Canis lupus familiaris: one gene and its partners. The protein of the gene in region 1 interacts with the protein of each later gene in a pairwise test. Links are inferred from orthologs where the notes say so. Each region holds a gene or a part of one and is shown in the gene's direction. Other genes may lie near its edges. The genes, in order: NRIP1, ESR2, RORB, LDOC1, CEP70 and CIB1.

Region 1 (4,972 bases):
TACACATATGCCCAGTATCACTGCAATGACTCTCTTAGCCAGGAAACTTAGGTATTGATTTTTCAAAAACAAAGAACAACAACAAAAGAGCCCCACCACAATTAGCATGATTAAGTAAAAATGAATCCCACAAAAGGTGCGCAATTTACTTTCACTGATGCCCTATCAAAAAGAGTTCAGGATTTCAGGGACTGGATTTTTGTGGGGTTGAAGAGATAGATTAGTAAGAGGTGAAAGGCTTTGTTAAGTCCGCTAACAAATGGCGGTAGATTTTCTAACACTTGCATTGGAAGGCAGGACCAGTACTCTGCTTGTTGGGTCAAGAGTGTAACCTCACTTATTAGAAGACTGTTTATCTACCAGCCTCGATGATCCAAAACCCAGTTAAGGAGGAACACTAATGCTTTTCAAAGCAACATTTGGGTAGTCTGAATAGCTGTCCCAAAGTCTATGCGTTGAGGTTCATGTGTCTTACTCCTTGGTGAGCACATCAGTTTCTTATAGGACCTATTTAGTTTTACTTTACTGAATTGGGACAAGGGAGGTTATCTAGATTCCCAGTCTGCCCCAGACCAGAAGCTGCCAATCAGAAGAGGAGAAAAATATTAGAGACAGGCCCGCTGTGGCAACAGAGAAAAAGGCCAACAGATTGTCAGCGAAGGGGAATAGAGGAACTACAAAAGGCAGAAAAAAAAAAAAAAATCACTAAGTCCTAACATCCTAGAGTCCTTCAGTGCATTAATGGTGTATGTACCTCCTGGGAGCATCTTTTAACACCTAGGAAGAAGCCTGATGTAGAATAGAAACTTGATGTATTCGTTGAATCCACTACAACCTACCACAGTAAACACTTTTAATAATATTAACCCTCAATTTTCAAGAAAAGCCAAATGAAGTCCAATAAACTGCTTAAGAAAAAAAATAACCCATTTTAGAAAATCTTTGTATAGCACTTAACAGTGTTGTTGTTGTTGTTGTTTTTAAAGAAGTTTGACTCCTTAAAGGGCCAGATGCCAGTTCTGCTGATCATCACTTAATTGGAACAGTTCGCTTTGCATCAACCCTAGATAATGATGCATGTAGAACAGCCGGCTTGACTAAGTTGCCTTGAGCAGATTTCAAACTATGGTACATACACACAATAAGTCATCCTATGAAGTGTAAACTATATAAGATGGCAACAGATTGCACAGTTGAATCACTAGGGTGATGTAAAATAATTGTTCTAAAATGCACCATCACCATTCAGCAAACCCTTCGTACCCTGTGCCCAGCACTGGGCTAGGTGGTGGATTTATCTTTAGCGTTGCTTTCACTCTTAAGATTTGAAGGTATGGCAGAACTTCCATTCATATTTTGAAAGGTTAAATGAAATTTTAAATGCACAGCACAGCCATTACATAACAGGCATAGAAAACTGTTTCATGACTAGGATAGTGGGTTTTTTGGTGTTTAAGTACTCTATTTCCAAATGTCATAGAATTCTTAAGGGTATGAAAACCTATATATAAGAATGGAGTGCCTCATTCACTCAAGTTTTGTATAATGTGCTTTACCGTAGGCATGCCCTCTCGGAGTCGAGGTTGGGGTTCAGCTGTACTTCAGCGTTTCTGTTTTGGTTTGGTTTGTTATGTTTGTTTTAATGAAGCAAAAAACAATTTCGGCGATGACATTCAGTTCCCCTGGTAATTTTTTTTTTTTTTTTTTTTTTTTTCACGGCGAGTTACTAACTGCTAGATGCTAGAGTCAGAAAGAAACCTGACGTCTGGGGAGGTGTGGAAGGGGTGTTAATAGTTCAGTTACGGTGTTCGGGGGCGCACTGGGGGTAAGGTTTTGAAGCAGGAAAGGCAAGGGGTGGGGGGAGGAATCACGGTTCGTAGGACGCTGTCTCCTCTGCACTTTCCCTCGCCGCCACCCCAGATCCCCCCAGTTCAGAGGCGGGTTCGGCGAGATTCGGCCGCAGGAACCCGGGAGGCTCCCCGGCGCGGCCGCCACGGCCTCGTGATGTAATTGTCACCTCGTACGGGAGACCGAGCCGAGAGCGGGGCCGCCGAGGAGGTGGCAGCCCTGCTCTTTTTGCCTGGGCTGCTAGAGGGTCGGATTCTGGCCGGGATGCTGGAGATTGGCTGGCGGGCTCGCCGGGGACTTCGCGGTGACAAAGCAGCCGGAGAGAAGCCCTGCTCCTGGGTCCTACGCCCGCCGAGGAGCCGGACGCGCGCTCCTCAGGTCTCCCTCCCAGCCTCGCCCTCGGAGCCGCTCCCCCTCGGGCCCTGGGGGCCTCCCGCGGGCTGCGGCGTGGGGTCCGCGCGGCCCGGAGTTGGCGCCCCCGCCCCCCCCCCCCCCCAGTGAAGCAGGACACACGGATGCGGGCGGGGAGGCTGCGGGCGGGCGGGAGCCGCGGAGCGCGTGTCGTGCGGCGCCAGGGGACGGTGCCGGCCGCCTGCCCCGGCCCCCCAGCGCGAGCCCCCGGCCCGGGTCGCGGCGGGAGCCCCCGGCCGGGGGGCAGCTGTCCGGGCAGGGGCGGCGGCACGGAGCCGGGGGCCGGGGGCCGGGGGCCGGGGGCCGGGGGGGCGGCGCGGGCAGCCCCCGGCCCTCCCTCCCCGACGCGGGCCTCCCGCCGCCTCCGCGCCCGCAGCCCCCGCCCGCCGGCCGCGGGGCGCCCAGGGCGGGGGCTCGGCTCGCGCGAGCTGCGGGGCCCCGAGAGGCTGCCCCTGCCCCGGCGGCCATGGGAGGGAGGGGGAGAAAAGGGTTAAGAAACTTGGCTGAAGAGCTGAATGGCGTGGAGCGGCGAGGGGAGGGACCGGGCCGCGGCGGACTCGGCGGCGGAGGGAGGAGCGCGGCTGCGGGCGGGCGGGCGGGCGGCGAGCGAGGCGCTCAAAGTCAGCCTCGCAGACATTGCAGCAGAGCCCCGAACTCGGGAGGCGGCGGCGGCGGCGGCGGCGGCGGCGGCGGAGGCGGCGGCGGCGGCCGAGGCGGCGGCGGCGGCGGAGGCGGAGGCGGAGGCGGAGGGACTACCGGCCCCGCGCACGCCCGCCCGTGGCCCGCGGCCGCCCCTGCGCTCGGCGGCGCTGCTCGTGCGAGCGGAGCTCCCGGGGCGCCGGAGGACGGGGCGGCGGGCGCGGAGCCGCGGGAGCCTGGCGGAGCTCGGGGCGCGGAGCCGCGGCGGCCTCCGGTGAGTGGCGGCCGCGGCCGGGGGCGCCGGGAGCTCCGCGAGCTGCCGCGGGCGCCGCCGGAAACGGCCCGGGAGCGCGGCGGCGGCGGCGGCGGCGGCGGCGGCGGCGGCGGCGGCGGCGGCGGCGGGCAGGGCCGCGGGGGCGGCGGGGCGGCGGGGCGGGCGGGGGCATCGCCGCTCCTGCCGGCGCCGGGTCTTCCCGGGACCTCGGGGGGCCCAGGCGGCCGGCCCGGCAAGTTGCGGAGTTGGCCCCGGGCTCACGGTGGGTTCCCCGGAGGCGGCGGTCGCGCCCCGCTCGGCTGCCCCCTCGGCCCGGAGCCCGGGCGCGTGTGGCCGCGCGGCTCCGGGTCCTGCAGCCCGGGGCGACCTGGGCGGCGCCGGGCGCTGCCCCCCGCCTCCCGCCTCCCGCCCGGTGCCTGCCGGCGCGGCGCGCTCGCTGGATTCCGGGCCAAGAAAAGTGATCAGGAGCAGGGACAGCTCTCCTGGCCCTGCCCGGGCCCCCGGGCCCGGCCGCTCGGCCCTTGCGCCCCCGCCCCCGCCGCAGCCCTCCCCCGAGGGCGAGGCTCTTTGCACCCGAGGCCTCACCCATCACTCCCCCTGAGCCCCAAGCGGGGCTCGCGTTTGGGGTGAGCCCTGCGGAGGTCCTGGGAGGCTTCCTTCCCCTCTTATCTGTGTCCTCCTTAGCTACTAGTGAATATTGTTTTATGCACGGTTTCCCTGGAAATATTCTACAAACCCTCCCGTCCTTTCCAAAGTAGTTTCCAAATTTCCACCAAGAGTTGCTGTGCAGTCTGAAGGAACAAAGGAATCAACTGTGTCTCACGGGCCAACAGGCTGGGAGTCTGACACATGTTGATCTCTGAAGCCTTACAGGCGGTCCCATCTCCCATCCTATTAGTGGTTTAATTGGCTGCTGAAGATAGTGAAAGAAGAACAGAGTGATGAGTACTTTTGCGTTACATTTCTTAATAGGCTATTTTATTTCGGACGAAAAGGAAGACGTCCCTAGCTACAGGGACTTTTCACTCAGCCGGTGGGGCTGAGTTGGAGTTTGTCTCCGGTAATGTAAATGATTAAATCGTGAGATCGTGCGGGGGGTGAAAAACTGTCTTTAGGGGAAGAAAGACCGTCTGTTGATGTCCAAAGTGAAAATGGTTGTTGGGATCTATACGATGAATGCTTTTGCATTTCTGGGGGTGGGGGATTTGTGAAGCAGAAGGCTTTGGTAATTCATTCTTTAAAGTTATGAATTCCATGGAACCTGCTTATTAGTGAATCACAGGTTTAGCAAGTGGGTGTATTTTCCCGACGGATTATTCAGTGTTTAGTAACCAGGTTGCTACCTTCGTGGAAGAGACACTGAAATAAGTGGACTTTCTAAACAAGTAATGTTTCAATTGCTTGGCGCCCAAGTGTGGGTTGCTGCCTAGAGTGTGTTGAAATGTTTTTCAACTTAGAAATAAGTTGTTTTGGTTTTGTCCGGCGGTTTGGTAATGTCAGTTGGGTTTAGTTGGTTCAGAAAGTAGTGGCTTCATCACCAGTAGTAACTTTTTCTCTGTCTGGAATTAGTTCCTAGAGACAAAGAAGAAGAATCAGTCAATGGAACAGCTACTCCTCTGCAGACTGAGGGATAGTTAACTCTAGTCCGCTTCATTCAGTCTGGTGGGGGAAATACCTCTTTCCGTACTTACCTCTGAAAGTGCCCTAAGACTGTCAGTTCAATACATATTAAAAAAAAAAAAAAAGAGAGAGAGAGAGAACTGCTCATTGTTTGCTTTACTCAAGTGAGATCTCTACAGT
Region 2 (4,931 bases), on another chromosome or scaffold:
CTGCCTCCAGGATCAGGAAACCCTGCCTTACAACCTGAGAGCATCCAGGAGTCCCTGCTTTAATGAAAATTGAGGGCGTGGGGCAGTAGAGATTGTATCTATCCACTGTTTATAAAGTGGGTGGCTCTCCACATTTGGAGCCTGCTTTCACTACCTGTGGACCTCACTCTCCTAAACCCAGAGCACACTAGAGTCGGCTTGGGCCATTTTTGGCTAAACCCCAACACTTGAGGCAGGCATTGTAAGTTTCCCTCCAGATGCCCTCTTGGTCTTCTTTTATCAGAGATCTGGAGTCACAACCAGATCAAGAACCACGTCCCTTATGCCACGTGTATGGATAGTTTGATGATTAATTAGACACAAATGTGGCACTGGGGTCTGAGAATGGCTTATGGGACATATGCAACTTACCATTGGATTTTCGCCACCAGTGGCTGCCCTAACGCCAGGTGCTGCTTAACGACTAGGGAAAGTCCTCAGGCTGTGGGCTGTGCTGCAGGGTGGGCGAGGAGAGCTTGGGGACTCCGCAGACCTGGGGGACTGGAGCTGCCACCAGGGGGCTCAGGCCTGCAGGGAGCTCCACGGAGGCCCTGCGGAGGGAAGAGGGGCGCCGCCAGCGGCAGAGGCAGATGTCCCCCCAGCTGCCTCTTTTGGCAGCGGTGAGTGAGGAGGTTCCTGGGCTCCTTGCTCTAAGGCGAAAGGCCTCCCCAGCCGGCCGCTCAGAACCCGCACCCGCCATCTACCTCCACGGCCTCGTGGCTTGGCCTCTCCAGGGGCACGAACCTGCCCTTGGGCCCCGGACTGAGAAAACCCAAAGCCTCTCTAGTTTCACCACTGGATTCTTAAGAGTCAGATTTCTGGGGGCACCTTCCGTGGTTGAGCCTCTGCCTTCCGCTCAGGGCGTGATCCTGGGGTCCCGGGATCGAGTCCCACGTTGGGTTCCCTGCACGGAGCCTGCTTCTCCCTCTGCCTGTGTCTCTGCCTCTCTCTCTGTGTGTCTCTCATGAGTAAATAAATTCTTAAAAAAAAAAAAAAAAGTCAGACTTCTGTATTTAAATGACCCCGAAGCATCCACTGACAGACCCACGTGGGGCACGGTCTAGGGACGTGAATCTTCAAAGTGTGGCCCCCCCACCGGGCAGCATCCGTTTGGGCTTGGTCCTGCACCGGGTTGGAAATGCGCATTCTCAGGCCCCGCCCCAGACCTCCCAAACCCAGGCCGGCGGGAAGGGCGCCTCGAGTGCTCGCTCCCCGGGGCTTCTCCCTCCGCCCAGGTGAGTGTGGATGGCGAGACACGGGGAGTCCGCGTCCTCCCGAGATTTCTGGGCAGCCGGCTCGGTGGTCACGTGGGCTCTTGGAGGCTTTCTCCGCCGCCCCCGGGTCTTTAAAAGGGAGGAGAGGCTCCTCGTTAAGTCGTTGGTGATCTTTGCAGCGTCTCCGGCTCCTGGACCTGTTGAAACCGGGTTCGCGCCCCTGCAGCCAGGCAGCCCGAAGCGCCGAGGGGGCGGGGACCGCCGGGGAAACTTGCGGTGGGTGGGAGGGGGCGGCGGGAGCGCGGAGGGGGACCGCGGCGGCGGCGGGCGGCGGGCGGCGATCCAGCTGCGCTCGGGCTCCGGCTCCGCTCCGGCTCCGCTCCGGCTCCGCGCCGCGCGGTGGGCGCGCTCTCCGGCCCCGGGACCGCGGGGCCCGCGGCGGGCGGCTGCTCCGGGAGAGGCCGGGCCCGCGTGACAGAGACCCCTGGGCGCCGTGCACCTGCAAGGTAAGGGCCCCCCGGCCGGCTCGAGGTGGGACTGTCTGCTCCTCTGTGTGAAAGCCAAGGATGCGAAAGCAGCAATATTGAGAACAATGACAGACCCCCGCCTCCGCCCGAAACCACTTGTCTTGAAAACTATAGGAAACAGAAATTTCACGCTCTAAGTATTTTCACTCAAGACGCTGGCAAGTTAATTTAATTAGTTTGTGCCTGTAAACTCCGGATTGATACGTGTCTTTTTGAAAGAAAAAAACTCTAGATTTTTTCTTTCTTTCTTTTCTTTCTTTTATTTTTCTTTCTTTCTTTTCCTCTTTTTTTTCTTTCTTTTCGTTCTTTCTTTCTTTCTTTCTTTCTCTCTTTCTTTCTCTCTTTCTTTCTCTCTTTCTCTCTTTCTCTCTTTCTTTCTTTCTTTCTTTCTTCTTTCCTCCTATGGATTTCCCGAAAAAGGGTGAAATGATGAGCGTGGGAAAGTTGAACGAGGACTTCATGCTTGAGTTTTGTGGGCCTGGGAAGGTGTACGTGGATCAAGCAGGTGACCGGTGTTTTAAATGTATTAAGTGCCACTGCTCAGTGATATAAAAAACAGATTTGCTTCTGTCCTGGGTGAACTGAGCAAGATCTAAGATCTGGTCTGTTTTATTTGCTGAAGAGGAAGCCAGCTGCTCTTCTCTTGTCCCTTTGTGTTACCATTCGTGCCTGATTCATTTCGGAAGCCTAAAATTAAGTCAAGGGAATAATATTTTTTTGTAAAAAAAATTTGGGTTTGAGTGAATTTCTATTTAGGAAAACCAGGTTGACTCAATTTTACTAGCTTTTTAAAAAAGCAGCTTTGTGCTTTGGTGTAGTACACAACCCTTTGGAGGTAAGATTTTTGCCTTACTAGACTTTTAGTATTTTCATGGACATGCCATTGGGAATTTTTACTTTTAAGTTTCTGAACTCACAGTGGCTATTATATGTGGAGAAAGGTATTCGTTACTTAAGTGAACATGTGGAAAGAAAGGTTTCTGCCGTTAAGTATTGTAAAAAAGTATGTGTTCTCTGACTATGACACTTCTTCTTTGCCTTTTATTTTTTCTGCAGAAAAATCTATATTTCTGCATATACTCAAGAAGAGGGAGAATGTAAGGTGTTAAAGCATAATCTTAGGATCCATTTTACATTCAATCTTCTTTTTTTCAGTTGAATTACTGAAACATTCTTATTTCAAAAACAGCCAGTCTCCTGTAACTCTTAAGACTTGAAAATCTCTGAAATCTATTAAAAACACAGAATACATTTCATAGTGGTTCTGAGGGACTCAAATGAATCTAATGACCTTTTCTATTCCTCAGTTTACTTATAATATGGAAAAGGTAAAATTTAGTAGTAAATTTAACCCTTCAAAACATAATTAACATCTAATAGATATTGAAATGTTCATTTTTAAGAGTAAAACACTACAGTTTTCTATATATCTATATTCAAGTAATGGTGCAAAATACATCTGATAATTTTAGTTTATGTTTTGAGCCACTTTATATAATACTTGTAAATATGTAATGATTATATAAAACACTGAAGGCTGAACTTGAATCATTTACTGGTAAGTTTTTTCCTAATTACATCTAGAACATTGAGAACTGTATACTTGAATGTTACACTTCATAATTTAGTGGAAATGGACATTATAGCCATTTTAAAAAGGCAGGTTCCTGGCAATATAATTTATATACAGTAAAACCTAGCCTCTTTAGGTTACCCTTTATGAATTCTGACAGTTGCAACATTTATATAATCACTTCTACAGTCAAGACCTAGAAGAGTGCCATCACTCCCAAAAGTCCCCTTTGTGTGTTTGTAATCAGCCCCCCCACCCATCCTCACCCCCTGAAAAATCACTGAACTGTTCCCTAATTTTACTGTTCTGTTCTTCAGTATGTTTTTACCCAGAAATAATTAATCTTCCTATGCTTTTTGCAAAAGAGAATCCCAGTCTCCCTCAACCCCCCTTTTTGTTGGGATGAGTCAGGTTGTGGTATTTTTGTTTTACTCCTTATATACTTTGGAATGAATTGAGGCAAAGAAAAGCTATTTTGCAAATGGGACTGTTAGGTTCCCATTGGGCTAATAGATTTCATTCTTAGCACATTCGGATTCCATTGTGGGCTAAGTCTTTTGTTCTGGTGTGCATCTGGATTATCACCAACTGAATACAGGGTTTTTAAAAAGAAACATTGGTCATTTATGTAATATTAATAGAATGTATTGTATTTATATAACTAGGCATTTAAAAAATACTTTTATTATATTTGAGAGTACAAAAGTTACCTGAAATTACGTACGATTAATTAGTGAGGAGCAGAAAAGTAATTAAAAATGGCAATCTGGAGACATTGAAAATCTAATATAGAGTGATTGTGACTTAAGTTAAAAAATACTGTCCTTATTAAGAGTTGAGGTCTGTGCCCAATTTATGTGTTGATGTCAGAGTTTTTCCATTTCTGTGCTCATGCTTTGAAATCTAGATTTTCTTGCAGGACATATTCTTTACTGTTTAATGCATTATTCAATTTAGAGAATAGCTAGGAGTCTGTTATTGTTAAGCACTCCTAATAAAGATATGTCAGATGATGTCTTTTTCCTTTCTCCTTTGTGCTATGAAAAGAGGAGGCCGTATTTTCTACATGCAGCTTACCTTTCAGAGAACTACAGAGGCAGTAACTAGGATAAGCAGAGTGGCATGCTGAGGAAGCACCAGCAAACTGAGTGGTTGGCATTCCTAGCTGGAGGTTTTATACCTCTTCATAAATTAAGGGCCTTCAGCGGGGATTCTGGGTATGGGTGTACTTAACAGAGAGCAGGAGAGTAAGGGTCACTGTCAAGGCAGCTTACTGGATTTGGTATGTTTCCTCAAAGCAAGACTGCAATGTTTGTGGGTAAATGTTCGTGTTCAACTGAAACCCAGGACCGGAAGAGGAGATGAGTGCATTCACTTTAACTTCTGCGTTGGTCATGACCTCTTCATTCACAACTGTCCCCTCCCTGTCCCAAATGGATATTTGAAAATGGTTCCATTTCCTAAGAGCAGTGCATTTTCTCTGATGATTGGAATTGGGAAGGGGCAGAGACTTGCTGAAGAGAGTAGACTGATGGGCTCTCCCTCCATACCCCGCCTTAGCATGTGAAGACCGTGCAG
Region 3 (4,949 bases), on another chromosome or scaffold:
TGCAGCCAGCAGTAAAAGAAATTTAAGAATTCAGTAAATGTTCAGGAACTTAAGACTAGAAGAAAAGAGTTAAAATTCTTGAATTTCAAAATTTCTCCTTAATCAGAAATAGAAATCTAAAATAATCACAACAGTAATAATTATAGTGTTTACAAAGGCTTTGGAACTTTCAACACTCCTGTGTCTCCGCTTGAAGCACATAAAATTAAAATGTTGTAGTCACAATTTGTTTCTTGACTATTTTATATTCAGTAATTTTTAATGAAGCAACTAAATTAGGCATAACTTAGTGCAGCTTTAATGTGGTTATAATGAATATATTTTACTTGATTAAAAATGATAAAACCAGGGAGCCTTAAATATTATCTTAAAAGATTAACTACTGTGTCAATTACAAATCTAGGGGAAAGGTATTTATAAGAGAATAACTATTCTGAACAGTGACTTCCTTCTGTTCATTTCATTTAATTAAAGACTCAATCAACTTTCACTCTTAATACTAAAATTTTCCTAAATTACACATTGGCTTGCAAATGGAAGGGCATATAGCAGGGCTAAGTCAATTTAGCACTAGGGAGGATTCAGCAAGTAATCCATTTTCTTATTTAAACAGGGAGGGACAAACTACTTGGCCGTGTAGAGTGCAGTAATTAACTAAATAATCGCCAATTTTGCATTGCATTTTTTTTGTCACATGACATAATATGAATAGAGCAAAAAATCAAATTATTTGGGCAGGTGAATGATGATGAGGCCTGCTCTGCCAACAGGTACGCTAATGAGTAGAAGCCTCAATGGCTTAAGACTGAGTAAGAGAAGCAAATTTCTCCCCTCTCTGCTTTGTAGGGGACCAATTAACCTACTATGGTGGGGATGGGGGCGGGGAGTAGATGTGATCACTATGTGTTTACTGTGTCCACTGAGAGAGGAAAACTTGCAAAGGAACAGGTTTGACATATGCACTGGATTTTTATCAAAATACAAATAAATGGTCATAGATGACAGTTTTCACCTAAGGAATACAAAATACTCACGTTTAATTGTCAGTCTCCAATAAATAGAGAAGTGTCTTCTCAAAGCCAGGGGCTTAAGAGTCCTCCCTCCTAGAGCCCTACACGTTTGTCAAATAAACAGCACTTACACAGTCATCCCTCTGGCCTCAGCCATCTCCCTGGCACCACTGAGGTAGCCACAGTTGGGGCTCTTACCCTTGAATAGAGGTAGCGCAATGCCAGGAGATTTTGCAAATGCTAATAAAAATTTCCTTGACGAAAGAAAGTATTACAACATTTTTAAAAAATAATTAAAAAAAAAAAAATAAAAACCACCCTGAAGAAATCTTAAGTGTGTCGTGCTTCCTGTTTTTAGGATTCGGGGCGGGAAGCATCTGAAAGATGGTTTTCAAGGAAGCGGATGGCCCTTGCACGGGACTGCAGTTTGGTCACGCTCAACGTGATGGAAATTGATTGGCGTTTTGCTGCCACGAAAAGCCCCGCCAGAAATTCGGAGTTTACCGAAAGAGGACTCTGCAGAGCGCTGCCAGGCACTCAGAACTCACTCTCGGGGCAGGCGGCGGCTGCGAGAGACGGACGCAACGGGGGACCCGGGCAGCCGCACGGCCGTCGCCTCCGAAAGGACTGGGCAGCGCCTTCCCCCGCCTCCGGGGTCGGACGTGAGTGTCCCCTGCGGGTCGGCGCCCCTCGCGGGCCGGGCCCGCTCCTTTGCCCAGCTCGGACGGTCTCCCCGGCCAGTGTCAGCTCGGGCCGGCCGCGGGCCGCCGCGTCCCGCACCCCCGCCCGCCTCCGGGAAGCGCGGCCCCTCCCCCGCGGCCCCGGCCCCGGCCCCTCCGAGCGCTGCCGGGCGCTGATAGGCGGCGGCGCTGACAGCGGGCGGGGCCTGGGAGTCCCGGCCAAACCCGCCCTCGCGTATAAGCCCCTTCTCGGCTCTCTCTCTCTCCATCTCTCTCCTCTCTTTCTCTCTCGCTCCCTTCCTCCCTGTAACTGAACAGTGAAAATTCACTGGATCCGCTAACAGGCACAGATGTCATGTGAAAACGCACATGCTCTGCCATCCACACCGCCTTTCTTCCTTTTCTGTTTCCTTTCCCCCCCCCCCACCCCTTGCTCCTTCTCCTTCTTCTTTGTAACTAACAAAACCACCACCAACTCCTCCTCCTGCTGCTGCTTCTGCCCTTCCTCCTCCTCCTCAGTCCAAGTGATCACAAAAGAAATCTTCTAAGCCGGAGGCGGTGGCATTTTTAAAAAGCAAGCACATTAGAGAGAAAGAAAAAAGAAAAACAAAAGCAAAACAAAACCCGGGCACCAGCCAGACAGCACCTTTTTTTTTTTTTTTTTTTCCCACCCTTCCTGAAAACAAACAACCAAACAACCATCAAAACAGTCATCACCACCATCATCAAAACTGTTAACATAGCGGCGGCGGCGGCGGCGGCGGCAAACGTCACCCTCCGGCCACGGCGTCCGCCTAAAGGGATGGTTTTCTCGGCGGAGCAGCTCTTTGCCGACCACCTTCTTCACTCGTGCTGAGCAGGATTTTTGGGCTCTCCGGGGTTCGGGCTGGGAGCAGCTTCATGACTACGCGGAGCGGGAGAGCGGCCACACCATGCGAGGTAAGCGAGCCCGCGGACAGCGAGAGGGTCCCCGGTCCGGCCACCGCCGGCCCCTGCGGAGGGGGGAGGGGAGCGCACCCCGCACACGGGAAGGGGCTCTCGGGGCGCGGGGCTGGGGTCCGCGCTCGCAGGTGGGCTGCCGATGGCCTCGGGCGTGCAAAGTTGTGGGAAGGTGTGGATGCCTCTCGGGAGTTCTGGAGGGACGCAGGAGGGCGCTTTTTGGAGAGAGGAGCGGCGCTAGTTGCTTCCTCCCGGGCCAGGAGTTTCGCCGAACCGTTTGTGCTCGTCGCTCTCGGCTGCGGCCGCGGACGCCGGGTGGAGCGGGAGCCGGCGCGGGCTGCGGCCCCACGAGGCGGCTGGGAGCCCCCGGCGCGCGGCGGTGGCCTGCGGGGCTGGGGCGCGCGGGGCGCACGGGCAGGCGGCGGGGCGCGGGGGCGCGGGGGCGCGGGGGCGCGGGCGCACGGACTCACGGACTCGGGCTGGCCCGGCCCTGCCTCGCGGCAGCGGTGGGCAGGGGGGCGCGGGCGCGGGCGCGGGACCCGACGCGGACGCTGCATCGGCCCCCGCGCCCGTCCCTTGCGCCGGCGCTCCGCCCTGGCCAGGTCCGCGTGCTGGAGCCCGCGCGGTCCACGGACGAGCGCCGCCCCGAAAAAGTTGCGCAGAGAAAGTTCCAGAGGACTGAGAAGCCGGCGCCCCCCGCGGCCGAGGATGCTCTTTTTGTCAAGGGGCCGCTGGGTGAGCCCCGGAGCCGAGACCCCCAGCGGCGGCGGCGGCGGCGGCGGGTCCCTGGGGCGAGCTGGCAGCCGCGGGGCGGCGCGCCGGGGGCGGGCGAGAGAGGCTTCCCCTGGGTCCCCTCGGCGCTGCCCAGTGGACGGCCCGGCCGGCTGGACGGAGCCACTACGTCGGTCTCCTCCCCGGCAGTGCCGGGACCTTCGGGTCTCCAGCGCGCTGTGCTCGGACCCGCTCCCCCCCACTTTCTGCTTGGCCACAACTTTACTCTTTTCTTGAAGAGCGGGCCGAGAGCCAGCTTGCCGTGGGGACGTGTGCAAGTCTCCGGGCACCTGCCTCGCCCCGTTTTTTCTTCCTGGCCACTCTACGGCTCTTTGTGGGGCTCTCCGCTACCCGTCGCACGCCCTCCGGGGCCTGGCAACAAACAGAAAGTTGGAGAGGCCAGCCCCGGGCCTCCCTACGTCCCTGACCCGGCGACAGGTGGACTAGGCAGGTAGAGCTAGGGAAGGTCGGACTGCAAACGCTCCTCGTCTTCTAGCCGGCAGTGCACCTCTCCCACTCGCCCCCGCCCCCCGCCCCCCGCCCCCTCCCCCGCCAGCACCTACCTCTCTAGGAGGGCCCTGGGGGGCGGGGCGCAGCGGGCTTGCTCTCGTGCTCCGCACAAAGTGAACCCCGGAGCTTGGAGCTTGGACGCCGGGGCAGGGACTGGCTGGGCGCTGGGACGTGGCAGGAAAGGGAAGGAGGGGGAAGAACAGAGAGGTTGTCCAGGGAAGTGAGTGGGAGGGAGCTAGCCATCCAGGTGGGGTGATGGACCCCGCGAACTCGGAGTGGGAGCTCCGGGGCTTGCGAGCCGGTTCCGGTTGAGTGTCCCAGTTGGGGGTTTGGTCACATGCGGCATCGTCCAGATTCTCTCAGAAAATTGTACTCGGGCAACTGGCGAGTATAGAACCTGTAAGGGAAAGACGCCCCCACCCCAGTCTTTGTTTTGCTGTTTCTGCCCCGTCTCACCACCATCCCCCTCCTTTCGGCTTCCCCTGCTCGGGTCTGGGGCCGCCGGGTCGCCCTTCCCTTACTTCTCCCCTTCCAACATTCCTCCCACGGCAGGACCACGTTCTGATGGTCGGAAACCACGCGTCGTGTCGGCTCCCACCCGGCACTAGGACCTGCGGCGCAAAAGCCGCTCGCTCTCCCCCTTAAATTAAAGAAAGCGGCGGTGCGGGGCAGGAGTGGGTTGTAGCTTGATCGCGCTGCTCCTGAAGCAGCACTATGCCAGACAGTCCGGATCGCCTCGGGCTCCAGCAGCCTGAAGGCTTGAAAGCCAGGCGCTCGCCTAGTGCTCACCTTCAGAAACCAGTCGACAGCCCACACTCACTCGCTTTCCAGAAGGCTGTCACCCTCGCCAAGCTGCCCAGAAGAGTTTACAAGTCCTAACTTAAAGCGGCTCTCCGGCGAGGGGGAAGGGGGTGGGGGGTGCTCGCCCTGGAAGAAAAGGAAGCTTACAAGGTGGCAGAGTCTTTTTCTCCACCTCCCAGGCTCTCCTTTCCTGACCCCTGTGCACTTCCTACAGGCTATGCCCTCCCGCAGCATCAGG
Region 4 (3,939 bases), on another chromosome or scaffold:
GTTAGGGATTAGAGATTACTGGTAGAGAGTGGGGTGCTCTGATAGATGAGGTGGTCAGGAAAGTCTTCTCTCAAACAGTGGGAGAAGGAGTCGGGCAGCTAACTGGGGAGAGTGCCTCGCAAGGCAGAGAAGACAGAAAATGCAAACATCCTGAGGCCAGAGCTACTTGATAATGTGGGGAGAATAAGCAAGAAGAATACTGTGATTAGAGCAGAACAGGAAATGGGAATAGGCACAGGAGATGAGGCAGGGCTTTGCAGGCCACAGCCAAGACTTTGCTTTTATTTTTATTTTTATTTTATTTTTATTTCAAGTGAGAGTGGAAAACTGTTGGGATGATTTTGAGCAGGGGAGTAAAAAGTTCTCACTTTTGTTCAAAAGGATTCCTGTGCCTACTCTCTGGAGAGAGTGGGCACTGAGAAATATGAGCCACTGCCCTGAGACATGAGTCACTCGTTCCCTGGCCATATCCACAGGGGAATCTGTTCCAAGATCCCCAGCAGATGCCTGAAACTGAGGATAGTCTTGAATTATATATAGACTATATTTTTTCCTATACGTACTTGATACAATTTAAATAAGTTAGGCACACTAAGACATTACTAGCTCATGTGATAAAATAGAATGTTTGTAACACATAACTATTATGCAAGTTTCAAAATATCTCTTAAAGTATCTTACTGTCCTGTACTCACCCTTCTTGTGATGACGTGAGATGATAGAATGCGTAGTGATCCGACGCCAGGCTACTGGTTGATCTTCTGGTGCCAGGTCAGAAGGAGGGTCAGCTGATTCCGGATCAAACCACCCTTGGCACGGGTGACTGAAAGCACCGGAGAGCAAAACCGTGGATCAGGAGGGACTCCTGTGTGTACTGCAGGAAGAGAAGAGTGAAAGCTAAGCAGTTGCAGCAGTCTGGGTGGGATAAGGAAGGCTGGATCAGGGTGGTATAGTGGGAGAAGTGACTGATCTGGGGATATATTTTAAAAGCAGAGCCAACAAAATTTCAGCTCTAGGGTCCTGGACTCAACGATTTAAATAATCCAGTTCAAAGTAGAAAGCCCAAAGCATTTAAAAACACAAGTGTTCATTGTTAAGCAACAAACAACATGCGACCGAGGGCCAAGGGGCATTAACAGGACATGAAACAGAGGGTCAAAGAGAGGCGAGAGCCTGCAAATCGTTCTCCAGTGGTGCTTTTGCAGAAGTTTTTATACTTGACTGTTTAGAAAAAAATACTTTTTAAAAAAGGATGTAGGTATACAATATTGTTTCCCAACTAAAGAAAAAAAAACCCCATTTAGATATTGTTTTGTTTTCAAAGAGGAGCCCCAAGGAAGGGTCTTTCGCAACTCCGAAAGGATGCGTGGCTCCCGCGGGGCAGGCCGCAGCGCCAGCAGTTCCCTGGGTGAGTGGGATTTCAATAAGCGAGGACGTGTGTCACCGAAACGCGCAGGTGGAATCTCGTAGCCACAGACCCACCAAGGAGCCCCGCACTGTGTGAGTCGGCTGAGTCCGAGCGTGACCGATCCTTTAAAGTTGAGCAGGTTGGCCCTCTCTGAGCTGGCTTTTGGCGGTCCCGGGGCGCACATCCGGGGCTCTAGCGCGGGAGCCTGCCCTTCCCGGGCGCCGGCCTCGGGAACTCCGGCCGCGGGCCCCCGGCTCCCGCCCGCCCCCTCCCTTGGACCGAGCCCCCGGCCCCGCCCCCGGCCCGCCGGCCCCGCCCCGGCCCCGCCCCCTCGCGGCGCCGGCAGCGCCCTGACCACGCCCCCCGACCCGGGCCGCGCCGGCGCGCCGGCCGCCCGAGTGGCTGTGCGGGCGGAGCTTGCGCAGCAGCCGGACCCCAGCGCGCACCGCCCTCCGCCCCTGGCCACCGTGCGCCTCGGCGGACACGCACTTCCTGCGAGGCCTCCGTGCGCACCTGAGCCGAGCCCAGCCCTGCGCTTGCAAGCCGTTCGCCATGGTGGACGAGCTGGTGCTGCTGCTGCACGCGCTCCTGATGCGGCACCGCGCCCTGAGCATCGAGAACAGCCAGCTCATGGAACAGCTGCGGCTGCTGGTGTGCGAGAGGGCCACCCTGCTGCGCCAGGTACGTCCGCCGAGCTGCCCGGTGCCCTTCCCCGAAACGTTTAGCGGCGAGAGCTCCCGGCTCCCCGAGTTTATCGTGCAGACGGCGTCTTACATGCTCGTCAACGAGAACCGATTCTGCAACGACGCCATGAAGGTGGCATTCCTAATCAGCCTGCTCACCGGGGAAGCCGAGGAGTGGGTGGTGCCCTACATTGAGATGGATAGCCCCATCCTAGGTGATTACCGGGCCTTCCTCGATGAGATGAAACAGTGTTTTGGCTGGGATGACGACGAAGAAGACGACGACGACGACGACGAGGAAGATGATTACTAGGCCGGGAGACCCTCGGGCCCAGGGGGGAGGGCCCTGCACGCCGCCATCCTCTCCCCCGCCTCTCCTGCCCGGCCCGGAGCCGCCCAGCGCCCTTCCGCCCTCCCATCCCCTTCCCTACCCCCAGCTCTCCGGTTCTCTCCGTCATCCCCCTGTAGTGCTTGCCTTTGTTCCGGTTACCTGCTGCTGGGGCCTCGCTCGGAAGCGCGCCGCCACCCACTCTGGCCAGCCCCGGGGCCCTCCCCTGCTGATTTGGACTGTGTCCTGAGCCCCAGCTATAGGGCAGGCCCCTGTTACAAACTGGTCAGACCACGCACAGCCCTGCCCTGCCGACTGCAAGGCCTCCATCTGCCCAGAGACCTACGCTGCCACTTCACCACCGTCCACCACATTCCAGCGACAGAACACAGCCTTTGAAAATAAGGACCAACCTAGAAGATGCCTGAGTTGGCTCTATGTCCTTGGACATTGATTTGGACAGCTCACCAGCCCCTGAAGGGGCCAGTCTTTCAACCTGGTTAGTTCCCTGCCTACTCCCAGGGTCCTCCCCTTCCCCACCAGATTGCTGCAGGGGCCTAGTGCGCCTGGCAGCCAAATTGTTGACATTTCTTTTCTCCTATGCACCAGTTTTGCACAGCTGTCCTTTTTCTTTCCAAACTGCAGCAGTCCCAACAGATGTGTGCATTTGGACAGAAATACTAAAAACAAAACAAACAAACAAAAACAGGCACTCAGCCCAGCTCCTCAATACCACCTGGAAAAAAGCATTTACGTTCTTTTCAATAAATATCAAGCACTACAAAAATAAAGAAAGGAGTGTCTTTTAATGGTTAAGTGCTATCATTGGCCTCTTCCAATCTCACTCTGACTCCCGTTATGCCCCCTGAGGTCAGGGAACTTAGTTCAGTCCCAGTATTCGCCACTGTCATCTCTAGGCTACAGAGGACAACTACCACAGGGTTTTCTAGGAATTCTGGTACTCTCCTCACCAAGGCATTTCTTAAAGCCCTGGCAAAAGGAGTGAGTGTCCTCTGGGGCCTCCAGGGTGGCATGGGTAAGGGGTGGCTGAGCAGGTGGCACACCATCCCAAACTGGGACACTTGAGAGTTAAAGGGGGACACTGTTAATAATTAGACTAGGACAACAGGCATAAATCTGGACACATACAATGTTATTATCTTCTTGAGCCTTTGGATTCCTTACTCAACACTGCCAGAGAAATTCTGTCCCTTAAGTCTTGTTGCCCGCGGGGCGCTGTTGAGTTCAGACTTCAGTTAACTACGTAGCATATTGTTTTAATGCCCCTTTCAGGTGCTTGAACTGACATTAAGCCCTGGATCCTGTGTGAGTGAACCCATACTAAATAGAGCGTGATCTTAACATTTCAGCACCCCGGGTGCACTGTCTTAGAATCCCCACCCATACATATGTCCCAGATTCCTGCCTATGGAAATTGGAGACTGACTGTCTCCTGAACTAGACCTTGTACTGCTATCTGGGCTATGCTGAGACCTCTTTGTGGGCCTGGAGGGCTCCGA
Region 5 (3,590 bases), on another chromosome or scaffold:
TATAGTAGATGCTTGGGAAATGTTTATCAATTGACCAGTCTTAGAGTTTTAATCTTCCATTAGCTTTTGTCCTTTGTGCAAATCTTAAAATAGATTAGGACAACCTGTCTTGACCAAGAGAATTAAGTAGGCTGTCATGAAGATTAAGTAGAGTTAATTTAATTTAGAATCTTATAAATTAATTATTTTTTCAAATTAAAAAGCTACCTAGAAATAAATGCTACAATGGATGAATATTGAAAACATTATCCTAAGTGAAGGAAAGCCAGTCAAAAAAGGCCACTTATTGTATAATTCTACTTCATGTGAAATGCCCAGAATAGGCAAATCCATAGAAATAGAAATTATGTTAATAGTGACCCAGGGTCTGGGGATAGAAAAGAATGGGGAATGGCAGTGAATGAGTATGGGATTTCTTTTGGGGGTGATAAAAATGCTCTGAAATTAAAGAATAGTGATAGTTGCACACCTCTGTAAAATGATTAAAATTACTGAATTGTACCCTTGTAAGGAATGAATTTTATATGAATTATATCTCCATAATTCTGTTATAAAATTGTTTAAGGCTAAAATATGAAGGATGAATTTGTTTTTTATATATCAGTAGTTTAAAAATAACTACTTAAATAACATATACTACTAATAAATAACATCATTACTTTAAACATCCAGATTTGAGATAACCAATATTATCATTGTTTTTTCTAAGCCCTATATTTACCTGGAGAACACACATTTAACAGACTTTTTCTAAACTAGTAATGGTATTTTTTTAAAAAGTACTGATGATGGTTTATATATATTAAACTTGCCTGGACAATTATATTATATTGACATTATTATGGAGTCTTTTTAAAAATCAATAATACCATGTTGTTTCTTTTGTTATAAAGGATTTGTATAAGTCCTTGAAAATACTATCTACAGAACTGGTGCCTTGGCATAACTTAAAAAGGCATGATGAAAATGAAGGTATTAGAGTTGAAGATCTGTTGTTTATAGTAGATACCATGTTAGAAGAAGTTGAAAATAAGGAAAAGGTAATGTTTAATACTTATGTAAATGTTCATATTTTAATGTAATCTTATCTTAAAAATTGATAGTGATACAGATAATGATATTTGTTCTATTAAGATTCTATTTCTCTTTTTAAAGTTTTCATTAAAGTTTTAGGATTATTTTAACATGTTAACTGTTTATCCCTCTCTCTTGGACAGGACAGCAATATGCCAAACTTAAAAACTTTGCAAGCTATTGTGTCTCACTTCCAAAAGTTATTTGATGTGCCTTCTTTAAATGGAGTCTATCCTCGAATGAATGAAGTTTATACTAGGCTTGGAGAAATGAACAATGCTGTGAGAAACCTCCAAGAACTCTTAGAATTAGGTGATAACTCTTTATTCTTTCTGGCCCCCATTTAAGAATTATTCCTAATAAATCAACAAAAAGTAGGTTAAAAAATAGAAAGTAAAAATTTGAGGATAACAGAAGCATAGGGTATTTGATTTAATTTTATGATGTTGAAAATTCTCTTTTAAGATATCCTTTTATTTCTCTCTTTCAGATAGTTCATCCTCATTGTGTGTGTTAGTGAACACAGTTGGAAAATTGTGTAGGGTGATTAATGAGAACATGAATGAACAGGTTATGCAGGTATTGGGACCTGAAGACCTCCAAAGGTATTTATTTTAAAAAGTTTGCCAAAAAAAAAAAAAAAAAAGTTTGCAAAGTATCATCCAGAATGCTTGGAGTGGTGAAATTAAAGACTTTTCAAAGCTTCATAAGTTATTTACCTTTCCTGTTTGGGATAGCTTTTTAAATAACTTGACAATATAAAATAATCTCACACCTTATCAATGGAGAGAATGCCATGCATTTTCAAGATAAAAATAGATTGTAGGGCCTATAAGTTTACATAGGGTGGGTCAGAACTCAAGCATTATTGCTATAAGCCTGTTCCCAAGGAAAATTATACGTGGAGAAATTCACACCTTGTTAGCAACTTCATGTTAGTGTTCAGACTATATAAACAAGTCCTATTTTTAGTACACTACCATAGGTCACTTAACAATTGCTAATAGTATGTTTATTATTTGATTAGAAGATAAATGTTAAAGATTTTTTTTAAAGCTTGTCAACTCTAAAAACATTCTTTTGAAATATGGAAACATTATAGATATACTTAAAGCAACTCTTCCACCTCCACCCTCCACCCTCAATTTTATACGCAACATAGGGGAAGAGGAGCACATAACATATACCACCTATTCATATATTCTGCAAGTTTTCTACAAAGATCCTTACCTAATCTGACACATGAATTTTCTGATACTTGATGCTTTTAAAAGGAACATATATTTGTCTTTTTTCCCTTCCCACATTTAGATGACTGATACTTATTCTTAATGTTTCATAGAATATGGGATATAAAAAACAATTTTTAGAAAATGTTAAAAAGCAAGGTCTCTTAAAAATTCTCAAGTTAAGTGGAAAGCTTTCACATTAGGAGTGTTACATTAATTTGGAACACATATTTAGACTGATAATAAGTTTTTTTTTTTTTTTTTAGAAAAGTGGTATTAGATGAACAAAGACTTCAAAAAGGAAGGATTGCAGTAAATGATTATTAAATTTATATTGAAATTAGCAGGAAATTTTCCATTTTGAAAATGTTTTATTTCAATCAGATACAAGAACCTTAAGTTGGAAATTCAGTGTAAACTGTGCATTTTTTTTTAAAAGCATTATCAACAAATTGGAAGAACATGAGGAATTTTTCCCAGCATTTCAGGCATTTACTAATGATCTACTTGAAATCTTAGGTAAGATTATTGTTGATAGTGGTTAAATTTCAAGTTTTAAGAAGTCAGGGGGTTTGAGGGGTGAGTGTTCCATAGTCACTTTATTAGTACTTTTACCTATAGTGTTTTGGTAGAAGTGTCTAAAAACCACTAACAGTTCTGGAAACACACTCCTGACTTAAAATTAGAGTTGGTTGAGGTTGGTGTGCAAAACAGAGAAGCACATATCCTTAAAATGAGAAATGACATTACTCTGGCTAGGCCCAGTTTAACCCTGACTCTGTCATGCCTAATGAGAAATCTTCATAGAATTTATGATCTTGAAGGTATTTAGTTTTTTAGGGTTTTTTTTCCTCCCTTTTTTTTTTTTTTTTTTTAACAGCTTACCTACTGTGGGTTTTTTTTAAATATACAAATTAAATTTCTTTCTCGGGTGATAAGTAATGTAAAGTGAATATCTGTAGAAAGAAAGATAAATTCATAAATCTGTATAAGGGAAGAGATTTATTTGTATTCTTGGCCAGATTGAGGGTTTTGTTATTAGTATTATCTCTTAAAGGGAAAAAAAAATCTAATTTCCTTCGGAATCAGGCAAAATAGAGACCCAAGGCTCTTATTTTAAGTATGATTATATATGGCTATAAAAGTAACTTATCTTACTTTAAAAACACTTTTTAAGGTGATTTATTCACCGATGAATTTTTTTTTTCTATATAGTTCATTTGAAAGAATTTGTTTTAAAAGAATGCCTCTTTGACATAGGAAATTAAATTAGAAAAGGAGGGGAGC
Region 6 (5,064 bases), on another chromosome or scaffold:
ATCTTCACTATCTCACCGCAAAGTCCAAGGACCGGCATTGGCTGGCCAGTGCTCCTCCCCCTCGGTCTAGTACAGGAGACACTACGACAACTTCCTGTTCTTTGCCTATCCTTTTACTAACCAAAAAAAAATTTTTTTATGATCTTATTTATTTATTTGAGAGAGAGAGTAAGAGAGAGAGAGAGAACATGAGAAGGGAGAGAGAGAGAAGCACACTCCCTGGGACTCCATCCCAGGATCCAAGAACCCCGGGATTATGACCAGAGCCAACTCAGGCACCCCTAACCGAACTCTTCTTATACAGAAAGAGCCCTAGTGTCAAGATGATTGGGTTGGGATGGGACCACACTCACTTTGGTTGTGGTGTTCCCACTGTTTTGCAGCCTCCACTTCTTGGAATGGAATATTTCCACAGTGGTGGGACTCACATGTTGAAAGAGTGAGTCTTACTAAAGTCACTCTCAGATGAACAGCTTATTGATTGCTGGGGTTAGCTAGTCATTCATCAAACATTTACTCAATTGCCACCCATCAGATACTGTAGATCACGATTCTTGCAACTCTTCATGGAGCTTACAGTCTAGTGAGGGGAAGAGCTACAGACATTAATCAACACCTAAGCAAACATAAGTTCAAACATGCTACAGTGCTGTTGTCAAAGACAAGGAAGCCCTGGATACTCTGGAAGCCTAAGATTCCTAATCTAGTCTAGGGAACTAGGAAGGGCTTCCCTGAGGCTAACAAGTAAGAGCAACGGAGAGCCCATTGTGACCGGACCCCGGAAAGCCAAGAGAAGAGGGCAGAGAGAGACTGAAGTCAGATTTTTGAGGGCCGGTATTTAGGTTTTTAACCATTTATTAGTTTTAAACTGAAATCATCATGATCAGATCTAGACTTTACAAAGATCAGCAAGTAGAATGAATCAGGAGAATCAAGAACTAACCCCTACTGTTTTGTCAATTATACATCAATAAAGGTGAAAACAAAATAATCTCACCTCCACCTCCTCTCTCAGCTTGGAATCCTCGCCTTCTAGAACAGTGTGTAGGGTTCTTCATGCACGCATGAAATTTGTTGAGAGCCTACTCCGTGCCAAGCACCGTCCTAGGATTGACAGGGGACAAGCTCAAACAGCTCAACCTCAGTCCCCGCCGCCTCTGGACGCGGGGTCGGCTCAAGGGAGGCCTACAGACACGCGGAGCGGCGAGAAGAGCCTTGGACGGGGGTGACGGCTCTCCACATGCCCGAGCCTAGACAAGTCACCGAATCCTCTCCCCACTCGGACCTGCTGTCCACATTTGTAAGACGGGAACCTACCTTGTAGGGTGAGCATCGAAGATCACTATGCACGGCTCCTGCGGTCTGCAGACCCTCAGCGTACAGCCTCAGCGGGCCTGGGGGCTCCTGCAGGTGGCATGCAGGCTGCAACACGTGCGGCGACGGTGCAATGGAAGCGTCTGGAAGAAAAAGCCCTCGCTGCGCGCGAGTGCGCGGCAGGCCGCCTTCGGCCACGTAACAAGTCTCGCGCTTTCCCGGATTTCCAGGCTCCGGGTACTTGCCTGGGGCTCGGACCGCGCCCCAGGGAGCCGCCGCCACCTACAGCAGCGGAGAAGCACGCTGCGCGACCCCGGCCGCAAGCTCCGAGCCGGGCCATGGCTAGGCGGCGGGGACGCGCACGCATGCGCAGCCCGCCCGCACCCCCGCCCGCACCCCCGCCCGCCCGCGGCGAGGCTCGCCCCGCCCTGCTCGGAGGCGGGGCCGCGCGGCCTGGGCTCCGCCCCGGAGCGTCCGGCCCCGCTCCGGGCCCCGCCTCCAGCTGGCCGCGGAGAGCCCGGAGCGGGGAGCCGGGAGCGGGTCGGCGGAACCGGACCGGCAGCGCCCGGGCACTTTAAGGAGGGGGCGGGCCCGGGGGCAGCGGCCCCAGGACCGGTTGCCGCGGGGACAGGGCGGTGACGCGGCCCGAGGGCGGAAGTGGAAAAAGTTGCCGGCGCCCCGAGGCAAGTTGGCGGAGCCGTGCGCGCGGCGCGACGATGGGGGGCTCGGGCAGCCGCCTGTCCAAGGAGCTGTTGGCCGAGTACCAGGTGCGCGGGACGCCGGTCCCCGGGGAGTTTGCGCGCGGCCCGGCGCTGGCGAGCGGGGTCCCGGGGCGGGCAGCAGGGCGGGTGCGGCCCCCGGGAGGCCCGCTGAACCCCTCCCGTTTTGCCTTCCAGGAGTTGACGTTCCTGACCAAGCAGGAGATCCTCCTGTAAGTGCAGCGTCCAGCCTCCGCAGCCGGGTCCTCTGGAGGCGGCTGCGGGGGGCTCTGTCCAGGCGGGCAAACGGAGGGCCCCAGAGGGAGGGGCAGGGGCGCGCCCGAGGTCCGCAGCCGAGCCGGAGCCGGAGCCGGCGCCGGGCCCCGGGCCCCGAGAGCTGGGCCGTGCCCTCCACCTCGCCGCCCCCGGCCGGCTGGGCACCCCCGGGCCTGCGCCTCGCTGGCTTCCGCGTGACCGAACTTCCTGCCCGCGCCCGGCAGGGGCTGCTGTGGCTCTCGGTGCGCCGCGCCCCGCGGGAGCCTGGCTCCGGGCAACTTGGCCCGAACTGACGCGGCAGCCGTTAACGTTTACCGAGCGCGCGAAGCGGTCGCCTACACGACCTAATTCAGTCCTCAGGAGGGAGGTCCCGCGGCAGGGAAGCAGGTTTCAGAGAAGTTTGGTAACTTGCCTGAGACTACATTCCAAGGAGGAGGATTTGAACTCGGGCTGGAACCCCCTTCCTAGCCGCCTGCCAGCTTTTTGCGGTCAAGGCACTTGAGCGAGGAGATTCCTGGGCTTCCCTTGGCAAAAATAATCCCAGTGGGAAGGAGGTGAGGGCTGAGGAAGAGCTCCTGTAGGGTAGTTGCTAAAAAAAAAAAAAAAAAAAAAAAACGGTGGGAGGCTTTGAGGAGCTGGAGATCCCTGCAGTGAGATGGGAGACATTTCGATTTTACTCTTTTTCCTGTTTTTCAGGGGCAACTTCTGGCTCCTTCTGCAGCCTCTCCATCCCCCAGGGAGCTCTAGAACCAATGCCCAGTACAGTGCCTGGCACACAATAGGCCCTTAGTAAATGCCCATTGCCCGAATGGACTCTCAGTGCAGTTTTGTGTCATATGTGACAATACACATGGGGGTTATATATATCGTCTCCTTTTGGCTTATGCTTGATGACGGAGAGGTTCTATGTATGTGCCTTAGCTCCCCACTTGGTGTATAACGGATAACAAGACAAGGAGCAGGGGATGTGATGCACACTGGAAGGTTTGCCAACAGGTTCCCTTCCTTCTGCCAGAGCCCACAGGCGGTTTTGTGAGCTGCTTCCCCAAGAGCACCGGAGTGTGGAGGAGTCACTGCAGATCCGAGTGTCCTTGGAGCAGATTCTCAGCCTTCCAGAGCTCAAGGTAACAGTTCGCCACCCTCCCTCCGCTACACGCCTTGAGATCATGTGGTCACTGGTCCCCATTCTGGTCTTCTCTCCACTTAGCTCTAATTTCCTGAGGACTAGGGCTTTCCCAGACTCACCCGGTCAAATTAACTGGAATAGTGTTTTTCAAGCTGGGATTCTTGGATATGTTCTTGGGGAGTCAAAGAAGTTTTGTCTTTATTTTTTTTATTTATTATTTTTAAAAAATATTTTATTTATTTATTCATGAGACACACACAAGGAGAGGCAGAGATACAGGCAGAAGGAGAAGCAGGCTCCATGCAGGGAGCCCGACATGGGACTCGATCCCAGGTCTCCAGGATCACGCCCCGGGCTGAAGGCGGCGCTAAACGGCTGAGCCACCGGGGCTCCCCCGAAGTTTTGTCTTTAAGAGGAGTTGAGCTACCTTATTAAAGTTTGAGAAACCTTATTCCAGAGGCCGATTGCCTCTCCATAGGGTTGCTGTGAAAAAATTCTTTTAAAGATTTGTATTTATTTATTTATTTGAGAGAGAGAGAGAGAGAGAGAGAGAGAGAGGAAGGAAGGGAGGGGTTGGGGTAGGGGAGCAGGGAGAGGGAGAGGGACAAGCAGATCCCGCACTGAGCACGGAGTCCAATGAGGGGCTCGATCTCATGACCCTGAGATTACAACCTGAGCCCATGACCTGAGCTGAAATCAAGAGTCCAATACTGAACTGACTGAGCCACCCAGGGCGCTACTACTAGGAAAATGTTTATGCAAAGGGCCTGGCCTAGTACCTATAACACAGTAAGTGTTCCAGTAAATGTGTTTTAAAGTAACCAGCCCATCCTGTTCTCTTTGCTTAGGATGCTTGTCTTCCTTCTCTGCTCCTGGGCCTGCCTTTGGGTTAAACTGACTCACAGGAAACCATCCCTGTCCCTTCCCCAAGTCATTTGGTCCTCCTGCCCTCCATGCTGGCCCTAAAACATTGATCCTCGTCTCCCGTGAGCCTGAGCTCATGGAGCGGGTACTGTGACCTGCTCCCCCAGGTTCCTGGTAGGATTTGAGGAGTGTGTGACCTGGGCTGCATCTGTGGCATTCACACCAGGCTCTCTTGCCTAGGCCAACCCCTTCAAGGAGCGAATCTGCAGGGTCTTCTCCACATCCCCCGCCAGGGACAGCCTGAGTTTCGAGGACTTCCTGGACCTCCTCAGTGTGTTCAGTGACACAGCAACTCCAGACATCAAGTCCCACTATGCCTTCCGCATCTTCGGTGAGAGCCAGGAGCAGCCTGGCAGGACACGGCCTGGTCCCTACGTGGTCTGGGCGGTGGCATACTGCTGGGGGGCCGGGGGGCCTTCTGTGGAGCCTTGGAGCTCACCCTGACCACATTCATTCTGGCTTCCCATGTCCATCTCTAGACTTTGATGATGATGGAACCTTGAACCGAGAAGACCTGAGTCAGCTCGTGAACTGCCTCACAGGACAGGGCGAGGACACACGACTTAGTGCCTCAGAGATGAAGCAGCTCATTGACAACGTGAGTAGCGAGGCCAGGCCAGGCCAGGGGGCGGGCAGGAAGGGCTGGGATTGGTCTGAAACTCTCTCTTTCCCAGATCCTGGAAGAGTCCGACATTGACCGGGATGGCACCATCAACCTCTCAGAGT

The links.
Region 2: the proteins of NRIP1 (region 1) and ESR2 interact in a two-hybrid assay, tested with the Homo sapiens proteins (2 studies listed by BioGRID, with this or other methods). The link is inferred for Canis lupus familiaris from reciprocal best matches to the Homo sapiens genes NRIP1 and ESR2.
Region 3: the proteins of NRIP1 (region 1) and RORB interact in a two-hybrid assay, tested with the Homo sapiens proteins (2 studies listed by BioGRID). The link is inferred for Canis lupus familiaris from reciprocal best matches to the Homo sapiens genes NRIP1 and RORB.
Region 4: the proteins of NRIP1 (region 1) and LDOC1 interact in binary tests that used the Homo sapiens proteins (3 or more experiments, as listed by UniProt). The two-hybrid records come from large-scale screens. The link is inferred for Canis lupus familiaris from reciprocal best matches to the Homo sapiens genes NRIP1 and LDOC1.
Region 5: the proteins of NRIP1 (region 1) and CEP70 interact in binary tests that used the Homo sapiens proteins (3 or more experiments, as listed by UniProt). The link is inferred for Canis lupus familiaris from reciprocal best matches to the Homo sapiens genes NRIP1 and CEP70.
Region 6: the proteins of NRIP1 (region 1) and CIB1 interact in a two-hybrid assay, tested with the Homo sapiens proteins (2 studies listed by BioGRID and IntAct). The link is inferred for Canis lupus familiaris from reciprocal best matches to the Homo sapiens genes NRIP1 and CIB1.

What each region holds. Positions count from the first base shown.
Region 1 is NC_049252.1:12,381,312-12,386,283, reverse strand, and holds the start of NRIP1 (nuclear receptor-interacting protein 1), read left to right. Parts: upstream 1-1,879; 5' UTR 1,880-2,006; exon of another isoform or gene 2,007-2,226; intron 2,227-3,115; exon of another isoform or gene 3,116-3,172; intron 3,173-3,853; exon of another isoform or gene 3,854-4,232; intron 4,233-4,972. UniProt on the Homo sapiens protein: Modulates transcriptional activation by steroid receptors such as NR3C1, NR3C2 and ESR1. Also modulates transcriptional repression by nuclear hormone receptors.
Region 2 is NC_049229.1:38,986,863-38,991,793, reverse strand, and holds the start of ESR2 (estrogen receptor beta), read left to right. Parts: upstream 1-1,649; 5' UTR 1,650-1,759; intron 1,760-4,931.
Region 3 is NC_049222.1:84,343,999-84,348,947, reverse strand, and holds the start of RORB (nuclear receptor ROR-beta), read left to right. Parts: upstream 1-1,907; 5' UTR 1,908-2,622; coding exon 2,623-2,629; intron 2,630-4,949. UniProt on the Homo sapiens protein: Nuclear receptor that binds DNA as a monomer to ROR response elements (RORE) containing a single core motif half-site 5'-AGGTCA-3' preceded by a short A-T-rich sequence.
Region 4 is NC_049260.1:112,048,440-112,052,378, forward strand, and holds LDOC1 (protein LDOC1), read left to right. Parts: upstream 1-1,813; 5' UTR 1,814-1,960; coding exon 1,961-2,404; 3' UTR 2,405-3,228; downstream 3,229-3,939. UniProt on the Homo sapiens protein: May have an important role in the development and/or progression of some cancers.
Region 5 is NC_049244.1:35,241,946-35,245,535, reverse strand, and holds part of CEP70 (centrosomal protein of 70 kDa), read left to right. Parts: intron 1-893; coding exon 894-1,040; intron 1,041-1,217; coding exon 1,218-1,386; intron 1,387-1,564; coding exon 1,565-1,679; intron 1,680-2,569; coding exon of another isoform or gene 2,570-2,630; exon of another isoform or gene 2,631-2,687; coding exon of another isoform or gene 2,688-2,739; exon of another isoform or gene 2,740-2,742; coding exon 2,743-2,822; intron 2,823-3,590.
Region 6 is NC_049224.1:53,672,906-53,677,969, reverse strand, and holds the start of CIB1 (calcium and integrin-binding protein 1), read left to right. Parts: upstream 1-1,834; 5' UTR 1,835-2,030; coding exon 2,031-2,081; intron 2,082-2,210; coding exon 2,211-2,245; intron 2,246-2,665; exon of another isoform or gene 2,666-2,842; intron 2,843-3,303; coding exon 3,304-3,412; intron 3,413-4,518; coding exon 4,519-4,669; intron 4,670-4,817; coding exon 4,818-4,936; intron 4,937-5,012; coding exon 5,013-5,064. Other genes in the region: GDPGP1 (GDP-D-glucose phosphorylase 1), read right to left, coding at 998-1,058. UniProt on the Homo sapiens protein: Calcium-binding protein that plays a role in the regulation of numerous cellular processes, such as cell differentiation, cell division, cell proliferation, cell migration, thrombosis, angiogenesis, cardiac hypertrophy and apoptosis.